3 linked regions of the Pelodiscus sinensis genome follow. The protein of the gene in region 3 purifies or fractionates together with the protein of the main gene of each other region. This does not show direct contact. Links are inferred from orthologs where the notes say so. Each region holds a gene or a part of one and is shown on either strand. Other genes may lie near its edges. The genes, in order: GPAT3, GOLGA5 and SLC6A15.

What was found.
Region 1: the proteins of SLC6A15 (region 3) and GPAT3 purify together in Homo sapiens (co-immunoprecipitation; 3 studies listed by BioGRID and IntAct, counting the BioPlex papers as one, with this or other methods). This does not show direct contact. The link is inferred for Pelodiscus sinensis from reciprocal best matches to the Homo sapiens genes SLC6A15 and GPAT3.
Region 2: the proteins of SLC6A15 (region 3) and GOLGA5 purify together in Homo sapiens (co-immunoprecipitation; 3 studies listed by BioGRID and IntAct, counting the BioPlex papers as one, with this or other methods). This does not show direct contact. The link is inferred for Pelodiscus sinensis from reciprocal best matches to the Homo sapiens genes SLC6A15 and GOLGA5.

Annotation. Positions count from the first base shown.
Region 1 is NC_134715.1:11,955,750-11,965,549, forward strand, and holds the start of GPAT3 (glycerol-3-phosphate acyltransferase 3), read left to right. Parts: upstream 1-5,298; 5' UTR 5,299-5,317; coding exon 5,318-5,548; intron 5,549-9,800. UniProt on the Homo sapiens protein: Converts glycerol-3-phosphate to 1-acyl-sn-glycerol-3-phosphate (lysophosphatidic acid or LPA) by incorporating an acyl moiety at the sn-1 position of the glycerol backbone.
Region 2 is NC_134714.1:30,346,925-30,356,420, forward strand, and holds the start of GOLGA5 (golgin subfamily A member 5), read right to left. Parts: upstream 4,643-9,496; 5' UTR 4,111-4,642; intron 3,622-4,110; 5' UTR 3,497-3,621; intron 2,610-3,496; 5' UTR 2,560-2,609; coding exon 1,998-2,559; intron 1-1,997. UniProt on the Homo sapiens protein: Involved in maintaining Golgi structure. Stimulates the formation of Golgi stacks and ribbons. Involved in intra-Golgi retrograde transport.
Region 3 is NC_134711.1:74,517,616-74,527,981, reverse strand, and holds the start of SLC6A15 (sodium-dependent neutral amino acid transporter B(0)AT2), read left to right. Parts: upstream 1-6,366; 5' UTR 6,367-6,565; intron 6,566-6,754; exon of another isoform or gene 6,755-8,945; intron 8,946-10,366.

The sequences.
Region 1 (9,800 bases), on a different chromosome or scaffold from region 3:
TGGGTTGTGCCCATGAAAGCTCATAATATCATCTACATATTTTGTTAGTCTTCAAGGTGCTAGTAGACTATTTGTTTTTTTTTAAATATATAGATTTATCAGAATCAAAACATGAGAGGTAGAGTTTTATAGGAGTTGTACATCCTGGCTACGTCTAGACTACATCCCTTTTTCGTAAAAGGGATGTAAATTAGACGTATCACAATTGCTAATGAAGCGGGGATTTAAATCTCCCCCGCTTCATTAGCATAAAAATGGCTGCTGCTTTTTTTACGCACGGAGCTTTGTCAGAAAAAAGCACCAGTCTAGATGCGGATCTTGCGGAAAATAAAGCCTTTTCCGAAAGATCCCTTATCCCTCTATGAAATAAGATGTTTAAGTTGTTTAAACAAATGTGTTGCAATGGTGGAAAAAAAATGTTGCGTCTGAAAGCTGTAGGTAATTTTTTTTAAAGGGGTACTTTATAAAAAAAAGGTTGAGAAACACTGTGCTAAGCTTGTCCACATTTGAGATTGAGTCAGCAAACATTAATAAACGTAAGCCTTACAAAATCCATGTAAGATGGGTAAGGGTTGTTATCCCCAGTTTACGTGTGGAGAAATTGAGGCATAGAGACTTTCTTGGGATTTACTCAAGATCATACAACAGATCAAAGACAGAGCTAAAACAGAAGGCAGGAGTCCTCTCCACCAATTATTTTGCTTAAACTACTGTACTACAGCAGATGCAGTTCTGGGGGCAGCAGAAGGGGACAATGTCTTGCTATCCAAGGGCAAAGGCTAAGAGCATATGAGACAGTTTGGCAGCTGGGAAGGAACATGTGCACTAGGGATCTCTTGCTTATGCTTAGTAAACCTTCCCCTCTGCAAGTCTCAGCAGTGTAGAGATCCATTTCCTTCTTCAGAGGGGTTTTTATTGCCCTTTTCTTTTGTTGTCTGAGCAGCAAACTCAGTTAGCAAGGGGAATCGATTTGCATCATTCATCTTCACCGAGGAGGGTAAAACAACCAGTGTCTTTTGTCCTATTTAATGTCTGCAATAGTTTGGAGTCAATAGTCAGGACATGACACCTTCTGTGGGAGATTAGCACTTCACAGCCGTTAATGTTTCTCTTCAGTCTGGTGATTTATACAGTCCCAGAGGTTCACAATGCAACCACTTAGATATGACCTTATGTTATGGGATACAGATTAATGCATCTAGCTACTCACAAGCATTCCATAAAATCTAAACATTAAATATTATTCCAACCCTAATATCTGTTGTAACAATACTGACACATAAGTATGCCAGACTGATTCCCTACATATCTGTTAATGTTCAGTTTAGACATGAGGTCCTTGGCATGAGGTGGTACCTAGTCTCTTAGGTTATGTCTACACTACAGAGTTTTTGCGGAAAAACAGCCATTTTTCTGCAAAAACTCACAGAGCATCTACACTGCAAGCATGTTCTTTTGACAGTAAATTGACAGTACATCGAAAGAACAGAGAAGTTTTTGTGCAATTGGTATTCCTCTTTCTACGAGGAAGAAGCCTTTTTGCTTTTTCGATGCGCTTTTGCAGTGTGGATGTGCTCTTGCGCAATAAATTTTTGTGGAAGATATCTTCTGACAAAAGGTTCTTGTGCAAAAAGCTTGCAGTCTAGACATAGCCTTAGTGTCACAGGTTTTATGGAGAATTCCAGCTTCATTTAATTTAGGGGCCAGATCTCCATCTTGCAAAAATTAGTATAGTCCCATTAACTACAATAGAGCAATGCAGATTTACTCAAGATAAGGTTCTAGTCACAGGGTTTCAGACAGAAAGTCCTTGTTTGCAAAATAGTTTTGCTAATTCAAGCTAGGCTAGGCTTAGCCTAAATGACAATTAGTTCAGAACAGTGTGACATAAATATGCCTTATTCCCACACAGACTACAGATAAAATGTAAGGTTGGAACAAGTTTGAAAATGATTTATCACCGCAAGTGCAGGTTTATAACCGCTAGCGTTTTTTTTTTTTTAGAGAAAGGCCATAGTGCAAGGAGAGCAGTTTCTTTACAAGTCAGCAATTTTTTGTAGTTAACAACCAGTTATTCTTTGATCAGAATGCAAGCTATTCACTGAGAGTGAACTTTAACATCATTTATTACAGGGCTTTGCCAGCACCTCTGTAATTATCAGGACACTCTCAAATGACTGGGCATATTTTTCTGTACTGTACCTAGAGAAAAAGAAGAATCCAAGAACAAATCAAAAGCAGAATTGATTTTTTTCTGCTTCAGTATTGATGCTCTGCTCATTTAAAAGAAATATCCAAGGTGTGTGTGTGGTGAGGGGCAGGGAGACCCCTCCAAATTATAAAATAGCAGCTTGAGTTTGCATTTTCACCACCTTACTTAGGGCAGGTCTACAGCACAAGATAAGGGAGAAGATCTTACCATCCGATTTTGTGAAGTCAGAGGTCTGTGTCCTCACTGTGGGGAAGAATCAAATGTTGTCTGAAACATTACTGTCGATGCAGAGAGCTGAGGACCATGGGCAGCTTTGCATTCTGGGCCATATGCACAGTGCCCACTGGGTACAAAACTCGGTAGCAGGTAGCTAGGGGTTCATGTTGGCAACGTCCCAGAATGCATTCCTTTACACCCTCCCCTCTTGTGAGAGATAGCGGGGAGGCAGTGTGCTTGCACCTTTTAGTGCCCTGGTTGCCTGTGCAGATGCTATAGCAACGCGACCATGAAGCCTGTTGTGCAGGAAAGCATTGACATGCTCATGTGTCAAGTTCCTGGTGTGTGTTTAGAGACCATTGTGAAGTCCTCGGTGTCCATGGATAGAGCCTTGCAAATCTGTGGAGATGTGCTTAATATCTGCAAGTATCCGCATCAGCAGATGTGGATATACATGGCTCATTTTTGTGGATACGGATCAGGAAGTAAATTTTGTACCTAGAACCCTGCAAATGTGCAGATATCCACTTTATATCCACAGGTATCCATCCGCATGTAGATATGTATGAGTGTATGAGATATCTGAGGATCATTTTTGCAGATGCAGATGTGGATACAAATGTTGCATTCACACAGAGCTCTATCCCTGATTAGTCAATTATTGATATGTCCTTTAAATTTTTACTTTTAAAAATGATACAGCACAAATTATTAGCACAATTTTATATATATAAATACATACATTGCTAACTACAGTTTGTGTACATATCTCATAACAATAATCAGGTTCAGAATAGTACTAGCTTTCATAAGGAATTTAACTTCACAGTAATATTATATAAATACAACCAGTTGATTGAATTGTGTATTTTTTTGGGTTTCTCTTTAGGAGTTTCTGGATCCTGATTGTCAGAGAAATATAGTAATAGAAAAAAAAATTCCCAGACGCCGGCAGCTTCTCTTTTCTTTGCTGCAGTCTAGTTAGCCATCTATTCAAGTAGATTAGGCTCTTTTCATGTCTGTATAAACCATTGCCTTGAGAAATTGTATTTTTCCAATTGCAAAATCCAGATTTGGTAAAAAATCACAGCAACTCCCATTCCACCAGGATTACCAGGGTGTGGATACAAATCAACAAGGAAAACAAATGGTCTTATCATGCCCCTCCTTAATTACAGGGTCTGAGTCAGAACATCTGTCACCGACTCAGACATAAATTCACTATGTGTCATTGAGCATGTCACTTAATATTTTTTCTGGTCTCAGTTTCTCCAGTTTACTGCAAACTGGAAAAATGTTACTTTCCTCCATAATGGAGTGGTTTGATGTGTACAGATAAAAAGCTATCCCTATAAACTCATTGTGTTGATGATTCATTCATTCATTTAGTATGATTAATAATTACTTGTATTATTATCCCAAGAACTGTAATTATCCTTAAGCTATTCCTTCTCTGTTCTCTCTCCGATTGATTTTCTCTTTCCTACAAGGCAGAATGCTTTTTTTTTTTTAAACAAAAACCAAACGAAAGTCCAAGCAAGCAAGCAAGCAAGCAAGCAAACAAAAAAACCCAGACTAGGCTGGGGTTGGAGTAATACAAAGTTTATGGTAAAACTGTCTCTCTGCTAAGTGAATTACGGTACACAAAGGCTGATAACTTTTCCTGTCTGTTGATTGCAGCAGAAGATATACATGAGCCAGCCCTCGCCTGGTATATTTTTCCTTAATACTCTTTGTGTAGAAAATCCTGAGACAGGTAAGAATTATGTAGTTATTGTATTATAATTCAGGGTAATGACCATTCAAATTATTTACAGCTGATTTCTTAAAAGGTTGATTTCTTAGGAGTTAAATGCATAGCTAAAGTGTTTTGCTTAGTGCTGTATGTTTTCATTTATCTTTTAAAAAATGGTAAAATAGCCTAAGGCCATTTTTTAAAAATTAAAGTTGCTGTTCGAGCTAAAGGCTGAATTGTTGGCAGTTATTTTTTTCCAAGAAGGAGAAGCCCCTTCTAGACATTTAGCAAGGAATGTATCACTCATGTTCTCTTTATAAACCCGGTCTTGTGTTTGTGCTCGCTTCCTTTCCAGAAGTCTTAGCATGCTGTGGCTGTTGAAACTTTTCTGGCCCGCATACCTGTTTAGAGAAGGGATCTCAGAGGCGCTAATTTAGCTGCAAGGCAACCATATGCTGTCTGAATGATCCTATGAGATGAGGGGAATTATCTTGAAAAACGCGTATCTCGAGGCCTTATGTGGACCTGGGGGAGACGGAGGAAAAACCAGCGAAGAGAGGGGAATCTCATTAAAGTTACTAGGTTGGAAGTAGGTTGAGGACTTTGAAAGTGCTGGGGATTTCTTCGAAACGGGCTTGATAGATTTAACGCGATTTTTTGAAGTGTCCTCTTACTCTCCCCCTTTTCTGCTACTGAAGGTAAAAAACACCTCCCCCTGGAAAAAGGACAGGAAACTTTCTGGGGACAATCCACCAGGGTCTCTTCGCTGTGTCCCCAGCCCAGAGGTGCATACGTGTGTGCCCGAGCATTGTTGTGCTGCAGGATGCGATTGAAACTGCTGTTACCTCACCCACCTTAGCTCTGCACTCAAGCCTAGTCAGTTACACCTGGGAGAGGGCGTGAGCCACAGGCAATTTGGGTTCCCTCTTCAGTGCCCCCCGGTAGCCGCTCCAAGCGTATGGGACCCGAGGGGGGCACAGACCCCGACCCCACCTCCTCTCATCTGGGTAGACCCGCTGGATTTCCCCCACGTGCTGCAGTCGTGACCCGCTTTTGTTCCTTCCCTGCAGCTGTTGGCTGGCTCCGGAGCAGAATTAGTGAACGAGGTGGAGCAGGAGGGTGGCGGAGGCAAGGGCCGCTCTCGGGCTCTGACCATGTTTTTCCTCTTGCCCCTCAGCTGCCAGAGGGGATCCAGGAAGCCGCGGGAGAGACTCGCATCTGGAGCGGAGCTTCCAGCCACCATGGAGGGCCTTCTCCTGATTGCAGCCCAAGTCATGTCCGTCTGGTTCACTCTGGCGTTTACACTGATAGTGCTGCCTTCCGTGTTCGGACTGTCGCTGGGCATTTCTGAGTTCTACATGAGAATTTTAGTGAAGACCCTGGAGGTAAGTTGGTGGCCCTTAAAAGTGTTTACTTAATAAAAGGGGGCGAGAGGCTGGGGCGCTGCGTATTTCAGCGTCCTTAATATGTTTCCAGTAAAATCTTCTGGTTTGTGGCAGTAAATCTGCTGTGACTTTGGCATAAACACTTATTCCGTGTGAATCGGTTTCTCTAACCGTGTGAATCCGTGTGAATCGGTTTCTCTAACTCAGGAGGGTGTGTTCTCCCTCTGCAAAACGTGTCCCTCTGCCAAAGGCTGGCTAGTCAAGACTAGAACACTAGTTCCTGGGAATGCTTTGTGTTTTACAATCGTAAATCCGAGCTAATGTTGCGCCTGGGGTCTCATGAAATGTCTCCCTTGCCACTGCTCCAATAAAGGACCTGACAGGCCCGCTATGCATACAGGAGATATCCAGGTGAAGTACAGGGCATCCCCACTATAAGTCACCCCAGTATACATCCGTTCCACACTACAAGTCATTGCTTATAGGAATGGATGCATTTTAGGTCCTCCTATTTCCCCGCTCTTGAGTCATGCAACCCCCCCACCCCAAACCCAATCAGTACAAATAGAAGTCAGCTGTGGGGAAAAAATTCACCCCCTTTAAGTTGTTTTACTATCAGTCCAAGTTTTTTGGAATATACCTTGGACTTATAGCAAGAACGGCCTGCATAGTCAGTGAAGGAGGTCAGCTCCTGCTTAAAAAGAAACTATTGTGAAACTCCACAAATTCAGAGTCACTTCATGCCAGTTTGAACCAACAAAATCAGTTTCCTTGCTAAAATGTTCTGCTGTGTGTTCATCCACACTTGCAATAGCATAATAGTCAACGGTGACTGTAAAAGCTCCAACAGCCAGTGACTATTTTAAAATCGCATGTACTCACCCCTGGGAACCCTTGTCAGGCATCAACATTCTAGGCCAGGGCTACTCAACGCACTGCTCATGGGCTGCATGCGGCCCGCGGCCTGTTTGTTTGCAGCCTGCAGTGCAGTTTGGATTTACGGTGTGGTTTGGGTTGATAACTTTTAGTAGTTAAATTCAGAGTTGTTGACTCGAGTCTCATGACTTAAACTTGAGTCTGACTTAAGTCGCCTAGGTGACTCCACTTGAGCCTCAACTCGGGTTCATTGTTTGTGACTTGAGACTCGACTTGAGACTTGCTAATTTTGTTAAATCAACTTGGTGAAAAAATTGTCCTAAAATGCCGATATTGATGACTTGTACAAAAGCGACTTGACATTTTTTAAATTAAGACTTGAGACTCGACTTGGACTTGACAATGGCAACTTGAAGACAACACTGGTTAAATGCCTGGACCGTTGTGAAGCCAAAACAAAAAAGTAGTCCATATAATGGTCTTCTGTTGATATACATTTTAATAGTTAAATTCCTGGAACTACTCATTAATTAATTCCTGGAATTCCATTGCTCATTAAAAGTGCTGTCATATGGGTGGAAATTGGGTAAATATTGCATTTTATTAATATCAGAAGAACTGATTTAAATGTGGCCTGCATGTTGTGTAGTCTTGCCTTAATATTTGTATTCATGCCTGTCAGTGTGAAAGAAGCTATTTGCATGTATATGCAATCACACTTAATTTGTGGCCCATAGCATGTGTTGTGAGTATCGTTGTGGCCCCCTGTAGCTTTCAAAGTTGAGTAGCCCTGTTGTAGGCTGATATCCAGTCCCTGGATGGGGAAGGGTAAGAACATCATGTACCTTGCTTGCAGTATTCTGCCTTCCTCTTCTTTTTAACCTCTGACAACAGTCTTCTGTGCCAAGCTACTTATGAGTTATAATTAGGTGATCAGCTCTGAATCTCAGTCTTGCTGTCTATTGAATTCTTATATTTCCTAAATTTCTATGCTATCCAACAGGGGAAGGTTAACTTACTTTTAAATTAGTTTGATGAAAGAATGGGTGCATGTGTTTGCCACCTCCCAAGTAGGTTGTCCAACCAGTCCTGCACTATGATAGATACCCAAGCAGCTACTGAGAGAAAAATCTAGTTCTGATGTTCTATGGGGCACTTTCTTAAGGCTAAACTTTAAAAAATGCTCTTCTTGCCTCACTTTTCCCAGATGAAGCAAGAATCTCTGTTGGGATAGGAGCTTACTTTATATTGCCTTGACGTGTCCCTGGCACTTCAGTAGGATGTCCTGGATCAGACTCCTTGTGATGTAAATCACCACCCTGCCTCCTGTTGTGCTGTATTTCAGTCACTTGGCACCTAAATCCTCACAGTATTGGCACGGATGGTCACACACACAGCTTCTTGAAGTGATGAATTTGCACAGCAGTTCAGCTTCCTGTCTTCTAAATGGGGTATTTGTGAGGGCTGAACTCCTTCTTTTCCCCTGCCATTTTCCTCCTCTATGGAAATCGACCTCTCCAGGAGAGTGCTGGCTAGGGGTGGGCTGAAGGTGGAATGTGTGTGAAGTTCTAGAAGAGCAAAGGGGAAGGAGGAGCTAATGTTGTACCAGCCTCTTGAAAATGTAACTAGGGTGACCTGGGTAATCAGAAGCTGTGAAGCTCAACACTAGTCCAAGGCAAAATTGTGGAAGGACATCTTGGGAATCAATCCAGTAACTCATGCTGCCTCGCTTCATGCCACTCAACAAGGGTTTTATAGAAAATGGATCTAGTTACACTCGGCGCTGTTCTGTGAGGTTACCAGTTTTGCTGAGATAATGTGTTCTGATGCCTTACGGAAGCTGGCGTGGGACCACACAACATTCTGAATTTTGTGCTATGCCAAAAAGTAGCACCTATTAAATGGGTTTTTTAATACTGGCAGCTAGATCTCAGAATAACTTTAAATACATGATGAGTTATTTCTAGTGGGGGTCCCACAACCCAGCACTAGTTATTGAGGTGACTCAGAGGTATCTGTCACTTGCCACTTCACCAGTTGTAGAGAAGAATGAGGCCATCTTGGTAAACTGGCCTGACTTGAGTACTGCACATCTCTTAAGCTGGAAGGTGATACTTTCTAGGAGCAAAGAATGTGTTTCCTGCTGCTAGGATGAGGGACGGTTGCTTGGAAAGCAGTGATGCAAAAGTCATTGTGTGCTAAGAGGAGGGCATGAGGGAGAGTCAGCTGAACATGGGCTGGTGATGTGGTGCCAGGACTGACTCTCAAAGGCTGTCCTCATGTGTGTAAACAGGAGACCACTGAATAAAACCAGGGAGGCGTTACTCTGTATATGGAACTAGTGAATTGATTACTGCAGTACTGTGTCCAGTTCTGGTGTCGTCCTAAAAAGGCTGTTGACAACTTAGATGGATTCAGAAAAAGAGCTGTAAAAATGATCTAGCATTTGGAAAGCCTGACCTGGCGTGAGAGACTAATCAGCTCAAGCTATTTATGTATCCATTAGAAGATTTGCCCGGCATTGCTTGGGTCCTTAACTCAATTTAAAAATAAAATAAAATGAAAATGTACATGCTTTCAACCATTGCTCTTAGGTAGGGTTGGGGACGAGGGGCTCAGTGTGCAGGCTGGCCTGAGGAGAGAAGGACTATCCCTGCCCTCTCAGCAGCTTGGGGCCAGGTGAGTCGTGTCTCTCCATGGCCACTGCAGCTCCAGCAGGCACAGCCGGGGGAGGGGTGCATGTCCCCTGGCTGGGGCAGGTCCCGGTTCTTCTGCCCCCTGCACTCCTCAGCCAGAGTGAGGAATGCAGCAAATTGTGCACTTCCCCTCGCTTCCTGGTGAAGGGGAACAGCCAGCAATGTTTTTGTAATATGGGGGAAGCTTCAGCTCCCCACCACCCTTCCTAAAGTGCACCTGGGGGTGCACGGCTCAGGGCTGGAGTGGTCCTGAATATGGTAGAGGGATGCACCACTAGTCAGCCCCTTTCATTTGTTGTGTGATTGTCTCTTTTCTGTATGAGAAGCAAGCCCATTCCAGTCACATCCCATTTTCTGGCACAACCAAACCCCTGACCTTGCTAGGATAAGAGGATGCTGTATATCCAATTTGGTGGTCCTGGCTCTTACCAATTAGGAGTTCTTATACAGACGGACAAACTCTTTCAAATATATAGGAGAAGAGACTGTCTGGAGTGACGTGACTATGGACAGCTTAGAATGGTGTTTACTTGTCTAGCAGATGAAGGTATAATGTTATCCAGTGGCTAGAAGCTGAAGTTAGAGGAACTTTGACTAGCAATAACCTCAAACCTTTAACAGTGAGGCTACGTCTACACTGGCAGCTTCTTGTGGAAGAACAGCCGTTCTTCTGCAAAAAC
Region 2 (9,496 bases), on a different chromosome or scaffold from region 3:
TGAAATAAATTTGAATATAGTAACTGTAAAATTAGGTGTGCAGATATAAATGTATTTAAAGCTAGTGCCTAGCTCTCTTTTATATCAGTGCACTAAGAGACATACTAACTAAAAAGACCAATGATTGGCAAACTCAAGATGCTATACTGGACAAAAAAACAAACAAAAAAAAAAACCCCACCACATTTCATAAATATAATCAGAGTTCTATGTGACAAATCTACAATTAATACATATTAAGTTTGCTGTGATTAAACATTAAAAGAGTCATAAGAACTCTAAATAGAAGCATATCCAAGTTATTAACCCTCCCTTTATAGGTTTTAAGTCTTTAGCAACTTCATTACAATATTTATTAAATGCACATACAGTACTTTAAATATTCAATTAACTATACTGATATCAATTAACATAACTCATGAGGCAGTGCATGTACTATTCCTATTATACATATGGAGAAATGGAAGAAGATAGGTAAGGTTACTCCAAGAGTCTTGAATCAACAGAAGAGCTGGGGTTAGCTCTAAGGCAGGGTTTCCCAAACATTTTGACACGGGGACCAGTAAATCCATTCATGAGCTTTTGGAGGACCGGTAACATATTTGCATATTCATTAAGCAAATGATGAATATTCAAATAAGTTGTTTCTGGTCCTCCCAAAGCCCCCAGTGCCAGCTTTAGCAAAGCTTTTGATACAGTCACCCACAATATTCTTGCCAGCAAGTTCAGGGAATATGGATTGGATAAATGGACAGTAGGATGGATAGAAAGCTGGCTAGATCAGGGTTTCCCAAACTTTTTACTTTAATTGGAACCTGGTTATTTTCCAGTACAGTTTTTGCAGCCCAAAAATATAAACGCATATAAAAAATAATTAAAAATGAATAAATGTTCAGTGATTCACCCGGCTGCATCCTCTGCCCAGCCTGGGCCAGGGCTTCAGGGACCTGGTGCCGCACGGGCACTGCAGGAGGCAGGAGCAGATTGGGGGTAGGGTATCTGGCTAGGGTGCAAGGAGGGGTAGGGTTGCCAGGTGTCCAGTTTTGTACCGGACTGTCCAGTTTGAGGGCTCTGTCTGGGAAACAAATTGAGAAAATACCAGACATAAAATGTCCGGTATTTTCTAATTAGGCAAGTTTTATTATAATTAGGTGTATCAGTCTGTAGCTGCAAACTGCCTGGCTGGTAGATGTGCTCACGCTGCGTGAGTGTATCTACCAGCCAGGCAGTTCGCAACTACTCGAGGTAGGGTATTGGGAGGTGGAGGGGGTGGGGTAGCCAAAATGGAATCCCCAGAGCCGGACTCACTCGTGTGCCAGGGTTTACATGTGCCTGGGTCAGTCTCGCTTCCTGCTGGCCGATTCACTCCCCACCCCACGCTTCTCCTCCCAATCTCCCCCATTCAGCCCTGCTTCCAGCGGCCAGTTCCCCCCGACTCCCCACCGATCTGCTCTGGCCAGCCCTGCTCCCCCCGACAACCCTCCCAACCAGCGCCGCTCCCCCAACTCCCTCCCAGCCGTCTGATTCTCCCCTGCTTCTCCTCACGATCTCCCCTGGCCGGCCGCACTGCCCCTGTCCAGCCCTGCTTTCAGAGGCTGGTTCTCCTGTCCTCCTCCTCCCGATCTCCTCCGGCCAGCTCCCGCCTCCCCTGCTTCCTCTGTGTGCTCCTCCAATCTCTGCTGGACAGTCCCGCTGCCCTCAACCCTGCTTCCTGGCAGCTGGTTTTCCCCACACACACACCTCCTCCCAGTCAACCCCGCTCCCCTCCCAGCAGCCATGCTGAGGCCCAGTATTTTTTCCCCCGGCCACAGCCCATAGTTTGGGAAACGATGGTCTAAGGGGTTCTTGACCCCCAACCATGTTATCATTACTCTAAAACACCTTTCCCTCCTATTACAATCTATTCCATTTACTGTCAGTAAATTTGTTACTCTTCACATAATGTGATTTTTAAATATGCCTAAGTTCAATAAACATCTATAGTTCCATATAGCTACCATGGCTTGGACTCCTGATAGAATGGTCTTCAGTAGTTTTTATATTTTGTGTACTTATAGGCACAGAATTAATGCTTGAATTCTGAGAGTGATTTTGAAGAACTGCCTTGTTCTTTTCCTTTTTAGGGTCCATCCTTCCATTAGTTCCTTTCTCAGAACTATTGAGAAAATCAAACAGAAGCTCATCATCAGGTTCAGACTTTTTCCTTCTCACAAACTGGGAAGAAGGTCTGGGTATGGAAACACTCTCGGCTGGAGGAGAGCCCTCTAAAGGCGTCCTGGCTGCTGCTTTTACATTTGCAGTTCCAGCTAGTATTGTAGCTTTCTGGTGTATAATATTATCAGCTGCAGTTGAAATATAGTCTGCTTTAGATGATGTTTGATATGTTAATTCTCTGGTTTGCTGGTGCAGTTCAGGATATTCACTAGCAGACTCCAAATCCGTATTATCATATATTACTTTCCCTGTATTGTCTTTTTTGCTCAAAGCTGTTGCAGCTCCTTGATCGACTCTGTTGAGAAGGTCCTCTGCCTTTCCAGCAAGATCAGCAAACCAAGACATAACGGATGTCTAGTGACAAAAGCTACAGAGTTGAACCCCAAAAGCATGAGCTGCAAAGAGACACAAAATGGTTACAAATCAAATATATGTTGATTTGGGTTTTTGTTATGAACTACAGTTTTGTCCTTGCTTCATTCTTTACCATGTTATATTACTAGAGTGTCCAAATCAAATGTTCTTACAGGAAAATGCAGACCCAGGACAGTCAATTTTTTTTGTAAAGGTTCAAATTTTCATGGTCAAGGTACTTTTAAAAAATAATAATGAATAATAAGTAAATAAAAAGACTTTGGGGGTCTGTTAAAAAAAAAGTCTGCCAATCCAGATTTGGGCTATGGACTACCTATGGACGACCCCTCCTAGTAGTAGTTTTTGCTACTAAACCAGCAGAGTCATTTAGGGCATCAACACCTGCTAGCAGCAGTGGCAACCCCAATGATCTCATTCCAAGAGGATCAGAGGGGTAGCCGTGTTAGTCTGAATCTGCAAAAGTGGCGAGGAGTCCTGTGGCACCTTATAGACTAACTGAAATGTAGGAGATTAAAGTATAAGAAACTGGCTGGAGAGGGAAATATGAAGCAATGTGGATAACCACAGGAATATAGTATAAAAAAAGTCTATTTGACACTAGAAGATTTATCCAGTGTTGCTCAGGACCTTTTTCTGGGGGGGAGGGAGGCTGGAAAATAAAATGAAAAAAGGTATGGGCTTCATTGAAATCATTGCTTTAGAGTGGGGCTGAGAATGAGGGGTTCAGTATGCAGGCTGCCTTGGAGAGAGAGGACTACACAAGTCCTCTCTCACCACAGCAGCTTGGGGCCAGGTGAAAAGCCCCTCCAGCCCCTTTTACCTGTCTGGTGATTCTCTTTTCTGTATGGCTTAATGAGAAGCAGTCCCATTCCAGGCACATCCCATTTTCCTGGCAAAACCAACTTACCTTGCTTTAACTTACGATAAGAGAAAACTGCACACCGAATTTGGTGGTCCTACACACAAACAGACTCTCTCAAATCTATAGCAGAGGTGGCATGCAGACCTCTCCAGAAGCACTGGCAGGAATTCCTGCCCAACACAAATGTTGTTGTTCGAACTAAGTGTAACTCCTAAACTTGTGGACGGTGTGAACCCCTTTAACCGTGCTGGAGAGAAGGGCCCATATGGGCACAAAGAACCGGACTTTGAAAGGCGAGAACCTCAGCTCTGGCTAGGCACCCAACTACCTTTAGCACCATCGCTGGTCCTGACGCCCTGTAGGCTGCCAGCCATGACAGTGCTGCGAGGGGCGGGGGTGTTTCGTGCCCAATACGAGCCCACAGCCCTGCCTGGACCCTGGAGGAGACCATGGCGCAGCGCTGTGGACCCGAGTGAGGGGGCGGGGGTAGGGTCGGCACCGCAGCACAACACGCGGGAAGGAGCAGAGGCTCAGAATGGGGTGTCGCCCTTCACCCTACCCCCCCCCCGCGCACACCAAGCCCTTCCCATCCCCCCGCCGAGTGCCCGCCCGCGCCCCGTCTCCCGCGTAACTAAGCCCCAACACAGCCCCGGCCTCACCTTGTCCCGGCGCCCGCCGCCCGCCCTGCCTCCGCAGGGAGCAGCCGGCCGGGTGCGGGGATAAATCGGCGGCGGAGGCCGCAGCGGCTACATAGAGGCCGCAGGCCGGACTCGGTAGCTCAACTCCATCTTCCGGGAGACGTGGCCAGTGGTTCGGCGGACACAGGGACCCGGCGCTCCCCGGACCAAGCTGCCAGATGCGCAGGCGCGGCAGAACCAGCCTCCTGTGGTACGGAGGCTCGGAGGGCCCAAGGCTAATTCCCCCCCCCCGGGAAAGGAGGGTCAGAAGGAGGCCACGCCCCTTGCCATGAGATCCCGCCCTTTCTAGAAGGGAGGGGCAAAGACAGTCAGAGAGAGACTCCGTAGCGTTTCCAGCGAGAAGGGCGGAGCTGGAACTGCCGCAGACTGTCAGCCTCTGTGTACAGCGCTGACAGAGCATGCGCACTAAACCCTTTCCCGCAGCTCTGCTCAACGTGACCCCACTCTCTCACACGCCCCTCCCACTCGGTTCAGGGCAACCGGTCTAACGCCCATATACCCTCGCCAGTCGCCCCCCCCACACACACATTCACGAGGCATGACGCAGAGCAGCCTCTAGCGGACGCTCTGCACTCACAGAACTTAGGTGCCCCCGGCCGCGCAGTATCGTGCCGCCCTGGTGCTGCAACACTCCTGGCGGGGTTACCGCGACACTTGCTGCGCGCTTCCTTTTCCAGGCTTCACACCGCGCCAACAGCCTGTCTGGGCTACCGCCCGGGTCCCCAGCGCTTCCCGCTCTTTCTCCCCAGGCTCTCCTGCAGCCTCTAAACAATTGGGGAGCCGTAGGCGTAACCGGGCTCTCAATAATGTTAACAATTAATAGGGATAGGTGTCACTTCCGGATTGACCAGCTGTGGTTGTGGTGCTTAAATTACAGTGTACGTCGAATGGCGTTTGTTACTTAATCCTTATTTTTTGTCATGTTTACCACTGCCACTTGGAACGCAACATCAGCATAAAAACACATTCTTGACTAAACAGCGCCAAACTCAGGCAACTGAATCATTGTCACTTTAGAGACACACAAACATGCAGTGTGTGGGCACGCTCACCCACCCACCCACCCCCACACACCCACACACACACACACACACACCCATTGCTCATGCACAACCTGCTCCTTTGGCCCAGCTGCCTCTGCATGTTCCCCTCCCAGTGAACCTTCCCTGTTCACTCTCCCTACTGGGGGCTGGACAGTCAGTGCTGTGTGCTGCACGGGTGCTCAGGAAGCAGCTTCCCATGCAGGTTAGAATGTGGCCCCTATGTCCTGAGGCCCGCGTTTCTGGGGCAAGTCTCTTATAAGCAGGGGCAGCCCTAGACTAGCTGCCAATAACTGGCGCCCTAGGCGAACCATGCAATCGGCGCCCCCACTTCCAAACCTCTCAATGATATTGCACCTCCATTTGGCGTCCCATTTAACTTGGCGCCCTAGGCAACCGCCTAGTTCGCCTATATGGACTGGCCACCCCTGCTTATAAGCTAGTAAAACTGAAATGGCCCCGAGCTGGAACTCTGCTGTGAGGGTCGGGAGCTGCTGTCCTGCCCTTCTTTTAGGCAGCCCCATTGGGGAAACAGACCTGGTTGCACAGAGCACCTGACCTTGTGCAACATTTCTCTGTGCCCCCTAGAGGTTGGGAGGGGAACAGCAACACCAAGCTATCTATGCTTCCAAGACAGTTTTCCCAGCTGTGCTGTTCCCTGAGGTATGGAGAGCAACTCTCCTGCCCTCTTACACAGCTCACTTGGGGAAACTGACCTGGATGCATGTCACCACTTGCTCCTGCAAATGATCCTATGGGGAGGAATCAGGGACAAATAGAAGGGAGAAATCAGTACACACACACCTCCGGCCTTGGTGATGTACCCAGTTGGGAGGCAATTAGGGTTGCCAGATACTTTCACAAAAAATACTGAACATAGCAGGAAAAAAATTGGTTGAGCCAAAAAAAAAAAAACCCCCACACCAAAAAAAGGGTCATTGCACCTTTAAAATTTCTGAAGTGGCCCCATCAAAAATTATTGCCTACCCCTGTGCTAAAGCTTGCAAGCTTTGAAGCAAGGACCTGAAACATAGAAACAATGGAATCTGGCTGTGCATGGGAGGTGCCGGCCCCTGGGAGTGCAGCATATGGGTGGCCCCGCCCCTGGGGACGCGGCGTATGGGTGATGCCAGCCCCTGGGCGCACAGCACATGGGCGGCCCTGCCCCCGAGCGCGCGGTACATGGGCTGTGCCAGCCCCGGGCGCGCAGCACAGGAGCAGTGCTGGCCCCAGGAGTGCGGCATATGGGTGGGCCTGGCCCGCCCCTAGGCACGCGGCGTATGGGCGGTGCCAGCCCCTGGGCGCCCAGCACATGGGCGGCCCTACCCCCGGGCGCGCAGTGCAGGAGTGGTACTGGCCCCAGACATGCAGCGCGTGGGTGATGCCAGCTCCTGGTGTACGGCACAGGAGCGGCGCCGGCCCCAGGAGTGCCTCACATTGGTGGCACCGGCACTGGGCATGCAGCGTATGGGTGGCCCCGACCCCCAGGCGCCCGGCAGCCGCAAAAGGTTGGGGACCACTGACTTGGGCTATTTCTACACTGCAGGCTTCTTGCGCAATAACTTTTTGCGCAAAAGTTCTTGCGCAAGAGCGTGTCCACACTGCCATATGCTTTTACATAAGAGCATCCATGGCAGTTTGTGGTCTCTTCAGGATCTTCAGGAACTTCAGGATCTCTACCAAGCATTCATAAACCTCAATTACCCACCTGGAGAAATAAAAAAACAAATTGAAAGAGCCAAAGGAATACCCAGAAACCATCTACTTCAAGACAGACCCAGGAAAACCAACAATAGAACATCACTTGTCATCACCTATAGCCCCCAACTTAAACCCGTCCAATGCATTATCAATAAACTACAACCTATATTGGAACAGAATACTACACTCCGAGAGGCTCTGGGAGACAGACTCATAGTCTCCTAGGGTATGTCTACACTTCCACCCTAGTTCGAACTAGGGTGGTTAATGTAGTCAATTGAAGTTGTAATTGAAGCCCGGGATTTAAATATCCCGGGCTTCATTTGCCTCTTGCCGGGCGCCACCATTTTTAAATCCCCGGTAGTTCGGACTCCGTGCTCACAGCTACATGCGGCACGGAGTAGGTAGTTCGAATTAGGCGTGGAACGAGGTGTAACGGTAGTTCGAATTAGAAAGCCTAATTCGAACTACCTACTCCGTGCCGCGTGTAGCCGTGGGCACGGCGTCCGAACTACCGGGGATTTAAAAATAGCAGCACCCGGCAAGATGCAAATGAAGCCCGGGATATTTAAATCCCGGGCTTCATTTGCACTTCGATTGACTACATTAACCACATATTAGTTCGAACTAGGGTGGTAGTGTAGACATACCTCCATAGACAACCACCTAACATCAGGATGATTCTTACCAACAACCACAGGACATATCACACTGTTACCAACCCTGGAATTTTCCCTTGCAATAAACCCTGGTGGCAGCATTGTCCACATATTTACTCTGCTGATACCATTATTGGACCTAACCATGCCAGTTACAAGATCAAGAACACATATTCCTGTTCATCCAGAAATATAATTTATGCCATCATGTGCCTAAAGCGTCCGTCTGCTATGTACATTGGACAAATGTCTCAGACACTTCATCAAAGAATCAATGCACACAAAACAGATATAAGACTCTCTCGCAGAGAGAAAGCTGTTGCCTGCTATTTCAGCCAGACTGATCATTCCCTTAATGATCTTAAAACATGCATATTGCTTCAAAGAGGCTTTAACTCCAGACTTCAACAAGAAGCTTCAGAATTGTCATTCGTGCTTAAATTTGACACTTTATGTATGGGTTTAAACAAAGACTCTAATTATCTCACCCATTACAAATATAGCTTCCCCAATTATCACCCCTAATGTCATTACCTCACAGAAACTTACCTTCCCCTCTCTTCCCCACTCTGTTCTAAAATTCGATTTGTCAATTTCACATGCATTAATTTTTTTGATTGTATCACTTTGGTATATATGGTTGTGCTGATTTTCTTCCACATATTGATCTGAGGAAGTGGGTCTGGCCCATGAAAGCTCATCACCTAATAAACCATCTTGTTAGTCTTTAAAGTGCTACTAACACGGCTGCATCTCTATCGCTATTCCACACTCCATGGATGCTCTTACACAAGATGCCTGGGGCCGGCGCCACTCCTGCACTGCGTGCCCAGGGGCTGGGGCCACTCATACGCTGCATGCCTGGTGCTGGCGCCACCCATGTGCTGCACTCCTGGGGCCAGCGCCGCTCCTGTGCCGCACGCCCAGGAGCTAGCAGCACCCATGTGCTATGCACCTGGAGCCGGTGCAGCCCATGTACCGTGCGCCCAGGGGCTGGCACCGCCCGTACGCCACAAGCCCAGGGGCCAGCACAGCCCTTGTGCCGCGCGCCCAGGGGCAAGGCCACCCATACGCTGCACACCCAGGAGCCAGCACCGCCCATGCACCACGTGCCCAGGGGCAGGGTTGGCCCCGATCATTCGGTGGGCGCACAGAAATGGCCTGGTGAGCACCATGGCGCCCGCGGGCACCGCGTTGGGAACCACTGGCCTAAGTGTTTTGCCCAGGGTCACATGGGATATCTGGCAAAGCAGGGAACTGAACATAGGGTTACTAAATCATAGACACTATCTAATCATGGAACCAGCCTTTATTCCCATGGTCAATACATACTCTCCTGGTCCTTCAGTCATTCCCAAAATATATTTGCCCAACCCCAGTCTGAAAAGTACACAACTTATCTTCCCCAAATTTAGTCATCTATTAGTTCTACTTGGGTGTAATTCACCTGTAATGAACATTACAAGGACTTTCAGCCAGATTCCACTGTTTCTATGTTTCAGGTCCTTGCTTCAAAGCTTGCAAGTTCTAGCACAGGGGTAGGCAATAATTTTTGATGGGGCCACTTCAGAAATTCTTGAAGTGGCCCCGGGCTGCCCTGGAAAGAGTGGGGCCTCAAGCAGAAGGGGCAGGGCCAGGACACTTCCTGCTTCCCCATCCACAGACCCTGATTGGTCTGAGGGTGGGGAAGTGCACGAAGTCTTGTCCCCCCCTCTCCCGGAGAGAACCACCAGCAGTTCTGAACAGCTGGTACCTGTGCCCCTGGTGGTGGAAGGAGACTTCATGTTTGCACCCCTGCTGCCCCAGGTCAATCAGGGCCTGAGGAGGGGGAGCATGTGAAGTCTCTCGTTCTCTGCCCCAGCCTTGCAAGAAAGCACTGCACTTAGAGTCAACTGCCCACTGATCAGCAGCTGGTGGTTGACTTTAAGTGCTGAGACCCTTTCAGGG
Region 3 (10,366 bases):
GTAGGAGTCTGGGTCTGCCCCCTGTGGCACTGGCATAGATGGCCGCGTTCCTCCGTCTAGAGCGGAGATCATGGATGTTGGAGGATTTCCCCCAAACCTCAATAAGATCCATGATCTCTGCACTGGACCAAGAAGGCATGCACCTTTTCCGGCCCCTGGGGAGCTTGCAGACTGCTCCTGGGGAGTGGTGGAGGACTGGCTGGCACTGGCTGCCTCACTCATGTTGAGGCAAGTGGGTCAGGGGCAGTGACTGCTGGCTTTGGGCTGGCAGGCCCGGAGCTGGCAGAGGCACTGTGGCCAAACAGACTCTACCTTTTTAATGGCTCCTGGGAGGGTGGGGAGAAGAGAAGTTTTCCTGGTTGTGGCTAGAGTGGCCACCAGGACACCCTGGGAAGTGCTGGAGGCCCTCTATTTCAAAATAAGTGTCTACACAGCTCTTATTTCGAAATAGCAATTTCAAAATTTGTGTTCTTCCTCATGGAATGAGGTTTGCCAATTTTGAAATAAGCCCTCCGCTATTTTGAATTAATTTTGAAATAGCGGTTGGCTTGTGTAGATGCTAGTGAAGTTATTTCGAAATAACTTTGCTGTGTAGACATACCCTAATAGAAAAGTGCCATCTTTGCTTAACACATTTTTTGAGTGCCCCCCCCCCCATAAAATATTATTGCCCATCCCTGGGGAGAGCTGGTAGCACTTTCTAAATGTCATTTCCTTCTGTTACTTATAACTTTGTTGAACATCAACCATTCAACTTGAAGTTTTCCAAGTCAGATATATGCCTTTAGCTGAATATTTCTGGAGAAGTTAAGACAAAGTGATTCAGAGTCTTCCCAGAACTATGGTAGAGAAAATTATCTTATTTTTCCCATGCCAATAACTTCAAGAAACCTTTCTTTGAAATTCTCTAGAACTCCTTGTTTTGGAGCATGGATTTTAATTTTTGCAGTTGGGTCTATGTTAGAATGATATTGGAGTCTGTGCATTATCTCCCTTGTCTAAATCCAGATTGCTGTTTCCGTATGATGGTATCCATCTGTCCTTTCATTCTAGTCATGATGACTGTTGCTAACACTTTTCCTATGACAGACAAAAGTATTACTCCCCTTCATCTTGAGCGATTGTTTAGATCACCTTTCTTTAGTAATTTGATTATGATACCAAGAGTCCATTCTTTCACAATTTCTCCTCTGTCCATATGTTGTTGCACAACAAACAGATGACTTATTCCACATCTTCGTCTCCATATTTAAGCATCTCAGTATGAATGATGTCCAGACCAGGTGCCTTGTTATTTTTAACTTCTGCAATGTTTACCTTAAATACATCTATATTCTAAGTCTGATGGTTTATCATTATTAAATTCCAGTCTTATAATTTGTTATGGTTTGTTTAGCATTTCTTTGAGGTGTTCAACTCCTCTATTTTCTTGCTCCTCCTTTGTTTTCAGAATTTTTCCTTGTTTTCCTTTCTTTGGGACACTTCTGAATTTCGAGTCATACCCTGTTAACTGTTACAAGATTGTGTAGACTGTTCTTGGAACTGCTCCATCAATAGGATGGTTCAGGATGGTCACCCTAAGCTCTGTGCTTTGAAGGGCCATGTCATCCTATGGGTCAGACAGTCCACCATATTTGTGTTAGTCATGGGACTCAGAGCAGCCTGGAGATTACCTGGGAGGGCCTGATGTGGAGCAGCAGCAGGGGTCAGGCCCCCCTGCAGTTACCACAGTGGTGGGAGCCACAGGAAGCAGAGTGACACAGGGGTTCCAGCCAGGTAAGTCACTCCGCTTCACCTTAGCAACATGAGCTCAGAGGAGCAAAGCTGAGAGAGCCAAAGTGCTCCACAGCAGAGCAATCTAGATGGGAGATGGGCAATGGAGCAGAGCAGGCTGAAAGGTTGTTTCACTTCCCATGACTCCTGCTGCCATAATGACTGGGTTACTATCCAAGCGCATAGCTTATAGGAAACACTGAATAGAACCCAAGGTCTTTGGGCTCAACATTCCTCCATTGTCAGTGAAATCTACTGATGAAATATGTGTTCATTCCCCATTAGTGCTAGCTCATATAAAGGAAGACAACACACTATTTCTATTATAGCTCAGTTAGCTCAAGTGGCAAAGGCATATGGGGTGGATCTAAAGTTTCCAATCCTGCTGATGTGGTTGTCAACATGATGTCACACAATGGAATTTCAATTTTTTCATTATGCTTTTTATAAAAATATAGAAATTACACACAAATTCTCCTGATCATCTTAATTTGCCCCCCCTTGTGTTTATGCCTTGCAATACCATTTTAAATAACATACTCACATACGATTTTTTTCCACAGGACTCCTGCTTTATTCTGTGTATAGAATGGTCTTGATGCAAGGATGAATCAGGATTATGTAATAAATGAGGTTGTTGCTTGTAGGGCCTTGCCTCATTTGTTGTAGAATTTGAAGGGTATATGGTGAATGAGGCAGGCATAAAGGGAAGCAAAAGGGTAGTTTCATGACTAATATTATCCCTGCCTCTGCCACAGAAGTTCTGTGTGATGTTAAGTAAGTCATTTAATTCAAGCTTTTCAGAGGTGGTAATTCTCTGTGCTCATTTGCTGCATGCCAGACTTAATATCCTGAGGTTTGACTTGCTGCATTTGCAGAAATGCTGAGTATTCACAAATTCAACTGCAGTCATTTGAATGCTTTGCTTCAAAGTGCCATATAATGTGAAGCACTCTGAAAACTCAAGTCTTAGGTGTCTCAAATAGGGCACTCAAAATTAGCAGATGTATCTCTCTGTGCCTCAGTTCCCCATCTGTAAAATGGAGATACTACCCCCTCACCTTCAAGGAATGCTGTGAAGATAAATTAACTGTGGAGCACTCAGCTACTATTCTGAAAAATACCATTAAAAAGGTCATGCAGAGGAAATTAATAATTGATCTTCATAACAGTGTTTGAATAGTTTGCAGTAGATAAGGCCCAGGAGAACATGCTGAATAGTAATGAAAAAAAATATTGACTAGCACCTCACACAAGGTACGTCTACATTGCATGCTTATTTTGAAATAAGCTATTTTGGAAGAAACACTCTGAAATAGCTTATTTAGAAATAGCACGTCTACACTACAGAGAAGCCTCAAAATTAGTCAGAGGCAGGCTTCCCTAATGTGGACATACTCACTTGATTTAGAGACCCAGCAGGCACTGGGGAGTAATTACTGTGAATGACCCTGGGGAGGAGCTATTTCAAAATAGCAGCAGTAGAGCATCCACACTACTGCTATTCTGAAATAGTTATTTTGGAATCATAGAATACTAGAACTGGAAGGGACCTTGAGAGGTCATCAAGTCCAGTCCCCTGCCCTCATAGCAGGACCAAACACCGTCTCTAGACCATCCCTGATAGATATCTATTCAGCATGCTTTTAAATATCTCCAGAGATGGAGATTCCACAACTTCCCTGGGCATTTTATTTCAGTGTTTAAGCACCCTGATAGTAAGTTTTTCCTAATGTTCAACCTAAACCTCCCTTGCTTCAGTTTAAAACTGTTGCCTCAGAAACCTCAGAGGCCAAGGAGAACAATTTGTCTCCCTCCTCCTTGTGACACCCTTTTAGATACTTTAAAAGTGCTATCATGTCCCCTCTCAGTTTTCTCCTTTCCAAATTAAACAAGTCCAATTCTTCCAGTCTTCCCTTGTAGCTCATGTTCTCTAGACCTTTAATCATTCTTGTTGTTCTTCTCCAATTTCTCCATATCTTTCTTGAATTGTGGTGCCTAGAACTGGACACAACTGAGGCCTAATCAGTGGAGAGTAGAGTGGAAGAATGACTTCTCGTGTCTTGCTCACAACACTCCTGTTAATGCATCCCAGAATCATGTTTGCCTTTTTGGCAACAGTGTCACATTGTTGACTCATATTTAGCTTGTGGTCCACTATGACCCCTAGATTCCATTCTGCAATACTCCTTCCTAGACAGTCACTTCCCATTCTGTATGTGTAAAATGGATAGTTTATCCCTAAGTGTAGTACTTTGCATTTGGCCTTATTGAACTTCATCCTATTTACCTCAGACCATTTCTCCAATTTGTCCAGATAATTTTGAATTATGACCCTATCCTCCAAAGCAACTCTTCCCAGCTGCAGCCCTCCCAGCTTGGTATCATCTACAAACATAATAAACGAACTCTCTATGCCAATATCTAAATAGTTGAGAAAGACATTGAACAGAACCCATCCCCCAAAAGACCCCTGCGGAACCCCACCTGTTATGCCCTTCCAGGATGAATGTGAACCATTAATAACTACTTTCTGAAAAAGTTATCTGGCCAGTTATGCACCCACCTTATAGTAGTCCTATTTAAGTTTTATTTGCCTAGTTTATTGATAGTAAGATCATGTGAGACCGTCTCAAATGCCTTACTAAAGTCTAGGTATACCTCATCCACTGCTTCTCCTTCATCCACAAGACTCGTTATCCTATCAAAGAAAGCTATCAGATTAGTTTGACATGATTTGCTTTTTACAAATCCATGCTGGCTGTTACCTATCGCCTTATTTTCTTCCAGATATTTGCAGATGAATTTGTTAATTACTTGATCCTTTATATTTCCTGGCATAGAAGTTAAACTGACTGGTCTGTAATTTCCTGAGTTGTCCTTATTTTCCTTTTAATAGGTGGGCACTATATTTGCCCTTTTCCAGTCTTCTGAAATCTCTCCTGTTTTCCATGAATTTTCAAAGATGATAGCAAAAGGCTCAGATACCTCCTCCATCTCCTTCTTGAGTATTCTAGGATGCATTTCATCAGACTCTGGTGACTTGCAGACATTTAACTTTTCTAAGTAATTTTTAATGTGTTCTATTTTATTTTATCTTCTAAACCTACCCCATTTCCACTAACATTCATTATGTTAGGCATTCCTTCATCATCAGTTTTCTTGGTGAAGACCAAAACAAAGAAGTCATTAAGCACCTCTGCCATTTCCAAGTTTCCTCTCCCTTTTCACTGAGTAACAGGCCTACTCTGTCCTTGATCTTCCTCTTGCTTCTAATATATTTATAGAATGTCTTCTTGTTACCCTTTATGTCTCTAGCTAGTTTGTGTTTGCTATTCTTCATGGAATAGGTGTTATTCCTCATGGAATAGACACTATTCCTCATAGAATGAGGTTTACCGAACTTGGAATAAGCCATCCATTATTTCAAATTTAATTCAAAATAACAGAATTGCTGTGTAGACACTCGCATTGTTATTTTGGAATAACGGCTGTGATTCTGAAATAACGCTGCTGTCTAGATGCACCCTCAGTGAGCATCATCTATCCTGTGTACTGAATGAAGAAAAAGGTCCTGTAAGAAAAACAGTATGTGATCATATAATTAAAACTGTATTATTATGCATATTCACAAGAGAACTAAATTGATGTTTCACAGTGAAATGTCTCCCTGCCAATATATTGCAGTCCTTTAGAAGTCACCTACCATATTGCTGCAGAACTCATGCATTTTAACATCTGATCTTGAATTTTCGAATGTAATGCTCTTCATGATCAGAGCACACCTCAGGCCTCCATCTTGCTATTTTCCCAAATCACCTCTTCACCTCAACTCTTCCATTTTCCTACTGCTTCTTCCTCACTCCATCATCCACTGCTCCAGTCCTAGCACAACTACTCATCCTCGCTCTCCAGCCCCATCAATTCTACAGCATACAGCTGGACTTCTTCCCTGCTACACAACTCATCTCCTCCACATCCTCTTATATGTACCGTTCGCTGCTTACACTCTTGTATTCTTCCATCTCTGGGCATCCACCCTTCTTTTATGAGTATGTCAACCACAAAACACAGGTACCTGCACACATCCCTTCCCCCTGTTGCCTTACTGATCCCAATTTTCCATTCCCCCTGGCTGCAGCGGAGGTGGTGGGTCTGAGCTAAGGGCACAGTAAGAGCAATAACAGTTTCACTTTCCCATAACCCTAGGGCAGACATGTACCTTGCAGTTTTGCACTGAGGGTGCAGTAGTGGTAGCAAAGGGGAGGAGGATGAGAAGATGTCCATTGCCTTTGTGAGACAGGGCAAGGAGCACACTGCAGATGGCATGGCCAGTTCCAGGCAGGAGACAGGGTGGGGCCAGCTGGGGGCTGCTGATAATTCCTGAACACAAACAGCCTAAACAAACAGGTTGAAGGACCACCCGGCAGCTGAGCGGAATGGAGCACTAGGGGTCGCCGCCTTTCTCCACACCCCTCCCCACACCATCGCCCCCCATCCCTGGCTGAACAAGGAGAATGCAACTGCGGGCGGGTGTTGCATAGTTTCCTCTGCGTCAAGGGAGGTGCGGCTCCACTCCCTCCCCCCCTTCCTCTCCCCCCCCAGCCCTGCCTTCCCTCCTTCCACCGCTCCCCACCCCCTCGGATATTTTTTGTCCGCCTTTAAGCCGCCTCTGCATAGGACAGCTGGGCATATGTGCGCCAGCATCTCGGCTCCGTCACGCTCATTCATTCACTCCAAGCACCCAGCCTCTGCTGCAGGGCCTCGCTCCGGGGGCCGCCCCACAGGAAAGGTAGGTGAGGCGGCCGCACCGCCAGGCAGGGGGGGATGGCGGAGGTGGGTGGAGGGCTGGACGGGAAGCGGCAGGAGTCGCCATAAGATGCTGGAGGCTTTAGCCCTCCCGAGGCAGCGGTGCTTTAGTGTGCGCTCGTCAGCTGGACTTGGGGGGCTGAGCGGCGGAGGGAGGGGGGGGGGGGAGAAACACATGGTGGGGAGCCACGGTTTGTCTTGTAGATTAGTGCCAGTGGCGGGTTTGTGGACTGTAACGAGAGATCCCCCCCCCCACTCCCGCTGCTTGTCTATAGACAAGGGGGGGGGGGTGTCTTCCCTCCCGGCGTTTCCTCCGTTGCGGGCACCAGGAGCATTGCCACAGACTCATCAATCCCAAGGAGATACCCCTGGCTGGATTGAAAGTCGCCTGGTCGGTGGGAAAGTCGCCTGTCGTTGCCCTTGGGGAGACAGTAGTACGGCCAGATGGAAGGGGGCGCCGCGTGCTTTGTTTCAGTGGGGGGCGGCTTTTTGTTTCTCTTTTGGCGGGGAGTTCCTTTCCCTCGTGTGAACGAACCCAAAGCGTTTCCTTCGGGTCCTGCCGGCTTCAAAACGCCTGGGTCGCCTGCGCGTGTCTCCAGCTCAGGGAAGGACCATGGCATCTGGAGACATACGTTTCTGGATGTAGCTATTTCGGTGGCTCCAAGGCGTATTAGCAGGGAACTGCCTGATCTTAATCAGGGATGAAAGGATGAATAGCGCCGGTCGCGCTTGTAGCGGTTCCCAAATCGGAATCTCTCTAATTCCGGACTGCGACTGGAGGAGAGATTAGGGAAATAACCTCAGAAGGCAGGATCTGCTCAGAGGAGGCGATTGTCACATTAGTTTGGAGATCGGGGTCTGGGGCCAGGATCTGAGATGGTTTTAGCAGTGGAAAGGAAGAGGTCCGGATGCTGTCTCATTCTATGTAGCCATGCAGCTAGTGATCCGGCTGGTGCGTGCTCCCTCTTCCCCCGCCTTCCGTAACCCAGTCTGGCTGGAGTAACTCGGGGGAAGGCACCAGGCTTGGTCTTCTGTGATGACAGCCATGTTTGGGTGGCTATGTTAATGAGGATCTCTCCTCAATTTTTTTTGGTCTTAGATTCCTCCCCCGTCCCTCCCCCCCGCATTTTAAGGCTCATACATCCTTTCCAGCGCACATATACACAAATATATTCTAAGGGAGAGGAGAGATTCAGGCCCATCATTTTCATGCTGTGATTGGACTCTGCGGCTCTTGGATTCCTTTGATAATCCTCCTTATTGCCTACATGCTCCTGTAATGTTTTCCTTTTGGGGCTGCTAGTATGAGCATGAATTGCCAGCCATGCAGTGAGGTTTCGCATTTCTCTGTCTTGCTTGGATTTGATAGAGGACGCACATAGGGTTAATAGATATCATGCCATGATGCGCATAGGGATGCAAAGGAATGTAGATTTCAGTTGCTCCGAATTTAATTGTATGTGTTAAATGTTAAATCACCGTCTTCTATTACTGTGGGAATCAGCCATTTTAGATTATCTGGTATTTAGTATTGCTACATATCAGTTGCGGTGGGTGTAGGAGCTTTGGTATAGGAGAGAGCCTATTTTCAAAACACAAGTCTTCAAAACACTGTCTTTCAAACATAGTCTTTTAGGAGGCAATCATTACTTTTAATAGAGGATAAAAATGCTGTTTTCTTTTGTTTTCTTTTTCCCTCAAAAATGCAAAAATCAGCATGCTGAACAATAATGATTTTCTGAGAGTCAGGTGTTACATCAGACATTAAGCCTGTGCTAAGATATGTTCCCCAGACAACTTTCTCGCTTTGATAAAAATGACAAAAGCTCCTCATGGTCCTTGTGTTTCAACTTTCAAGACATCTATTTGTATTGGGTTTTTTTTATTAGAAAGGAAATTTAGTTAACTAAATGTTAGGATACCCAAATCAGGATTTCTCCATTTTGGATTTCTTAGCCATTATAGAAGTCTTGAATTTATAAATGGGAACAGTTAAGAAAACATCTTCTTGCATACAGACTGCTCCCTAGAAGGTCAATACTACACTCTAACTACAAGAGGAGGGCAACTTCCTGTTGATTTTGATCTTAGAATTCAGAATTGGGTTCTTTCATAGAGGTTCACATGTGCCAGCAGCAGTGAAAGTAAGAAGTTGCTGATGCAATTCAAGTTGCTTTTGCAGAATACAGCTGATGCATTGATTCATAGATTCCAGGGCCAGAAGGGAACACTGTGACCATCCAGTCTGACCACCTGTATAGCATAGGTCATAGGTCACCCCAAAATATTTGCATATCTTTTAGAAAAACAGCCAGAATTGATTTAATAAATTGTAGGTGATGGAGAATCCAACACAACACGTGGTAAGTTTTTCAAATGGTTAATTACTCTCACTGTTAGAAAACATATGCTTTATTTATTGTCTGAATTTGGGTTCTCTCTATTTGAAAAGTGTTTGTATCTTTTAATATTAAAATACAATATTTTCCTTCATGTTCTTTCCCATCAAATACCTCATTGTCATCTTCTTTGGATAACTATCTCATGATGTAAATATCAAAAGCAGTTTTTCAGACAAGTGATTTGACAACCACATGTTTCCGTGAAGGGGCTTTCATGTTGTGAAATTATTTTTGCTGAGTTACAGAGACTTTTGTCCTCACTTGCTGTTTACCATTTCAATCCTCTTTATGCAAAATAATACCTTGTCACCACTTAAGTATTAAGTTCTATAAAATCTAATATGAAATTACAGTTGATTGAATTAAGATATCTGACTAAACCACTTTAGTTAATGCGGGCTTTTAGCATTTTTGGTCCTTGGGAAGAGTTGGTAACAATCCCTAGATTAACATTGCATACCATGTTGTCCAACCAGTTCTGATTACTGCTATAGCGAACTAGTCACGCTTACCTAGCCAAATAGCCACATTGTTACATTGTTCAAACCAAACAGTCACACTCAACCAGCCAAATAGCCACATGTGGCTATTGGCTGGTGTGTTGGACACCACGGGCCTAATAGTTTCTATTATAAAATATTCTTGTGACTTTTTTTTAGAGAAATGCTAACGTATCTACTGTTTGCTGCAGGCCTCAGTTATTGCTTTATACTGGGATTTAAACATCCAGATGTCTAGAATGAGGCAGTAGTACACATGCTGAAAGGCAGGGACATAGGTGCTTAAAGAAGTTTTGCTGCAAAAATGTAGGTGATGAATGAAATTAGACAGTAGCTGAACAAGGTGTTTGTATTTAGTAGTGGTGCATTTAGGTGCTTAAAGTAGAAACTAGGAAGCTAATTCTCCATGTGAATCTGGCCCCTTTGTAATATTTAAAATACCTTTATTTACTTTCCTACCGCAACTAAGGCTCAAGGAATAAGGGTTTTTGCTAAGCTTTTTATCATAATGCAAAGGCAAACTCATGATTAGGGCAAAAAAAGGAAAATCCATGTACATTTGCTTTTGTGCCTTGTGTTGACCAGGTGGATGTTTTCGTCACTACATGTCCATTGCCTTCCTCCCAATTACAATTGAAGGCGTGGAGACTTAAGCAGGAGTGCTGAAACAATTTCTATAGCAAGGTGCTGAAAGTCCTTGAACAGAACTGTAAATTCTATATATCAGAGTTTCCCAGAGTGTGCTCCATGGAGCCTTGGGCCTCCATGCGATTGGTCCAGGGGCTTTGCCAGAAAATATCAATGACAATTGTATAATCCTATTATTTTGTAACTAATTTTCTGGTTGTTTTCTTGGGGGAAAAAAAGAATTTATAAGAAATA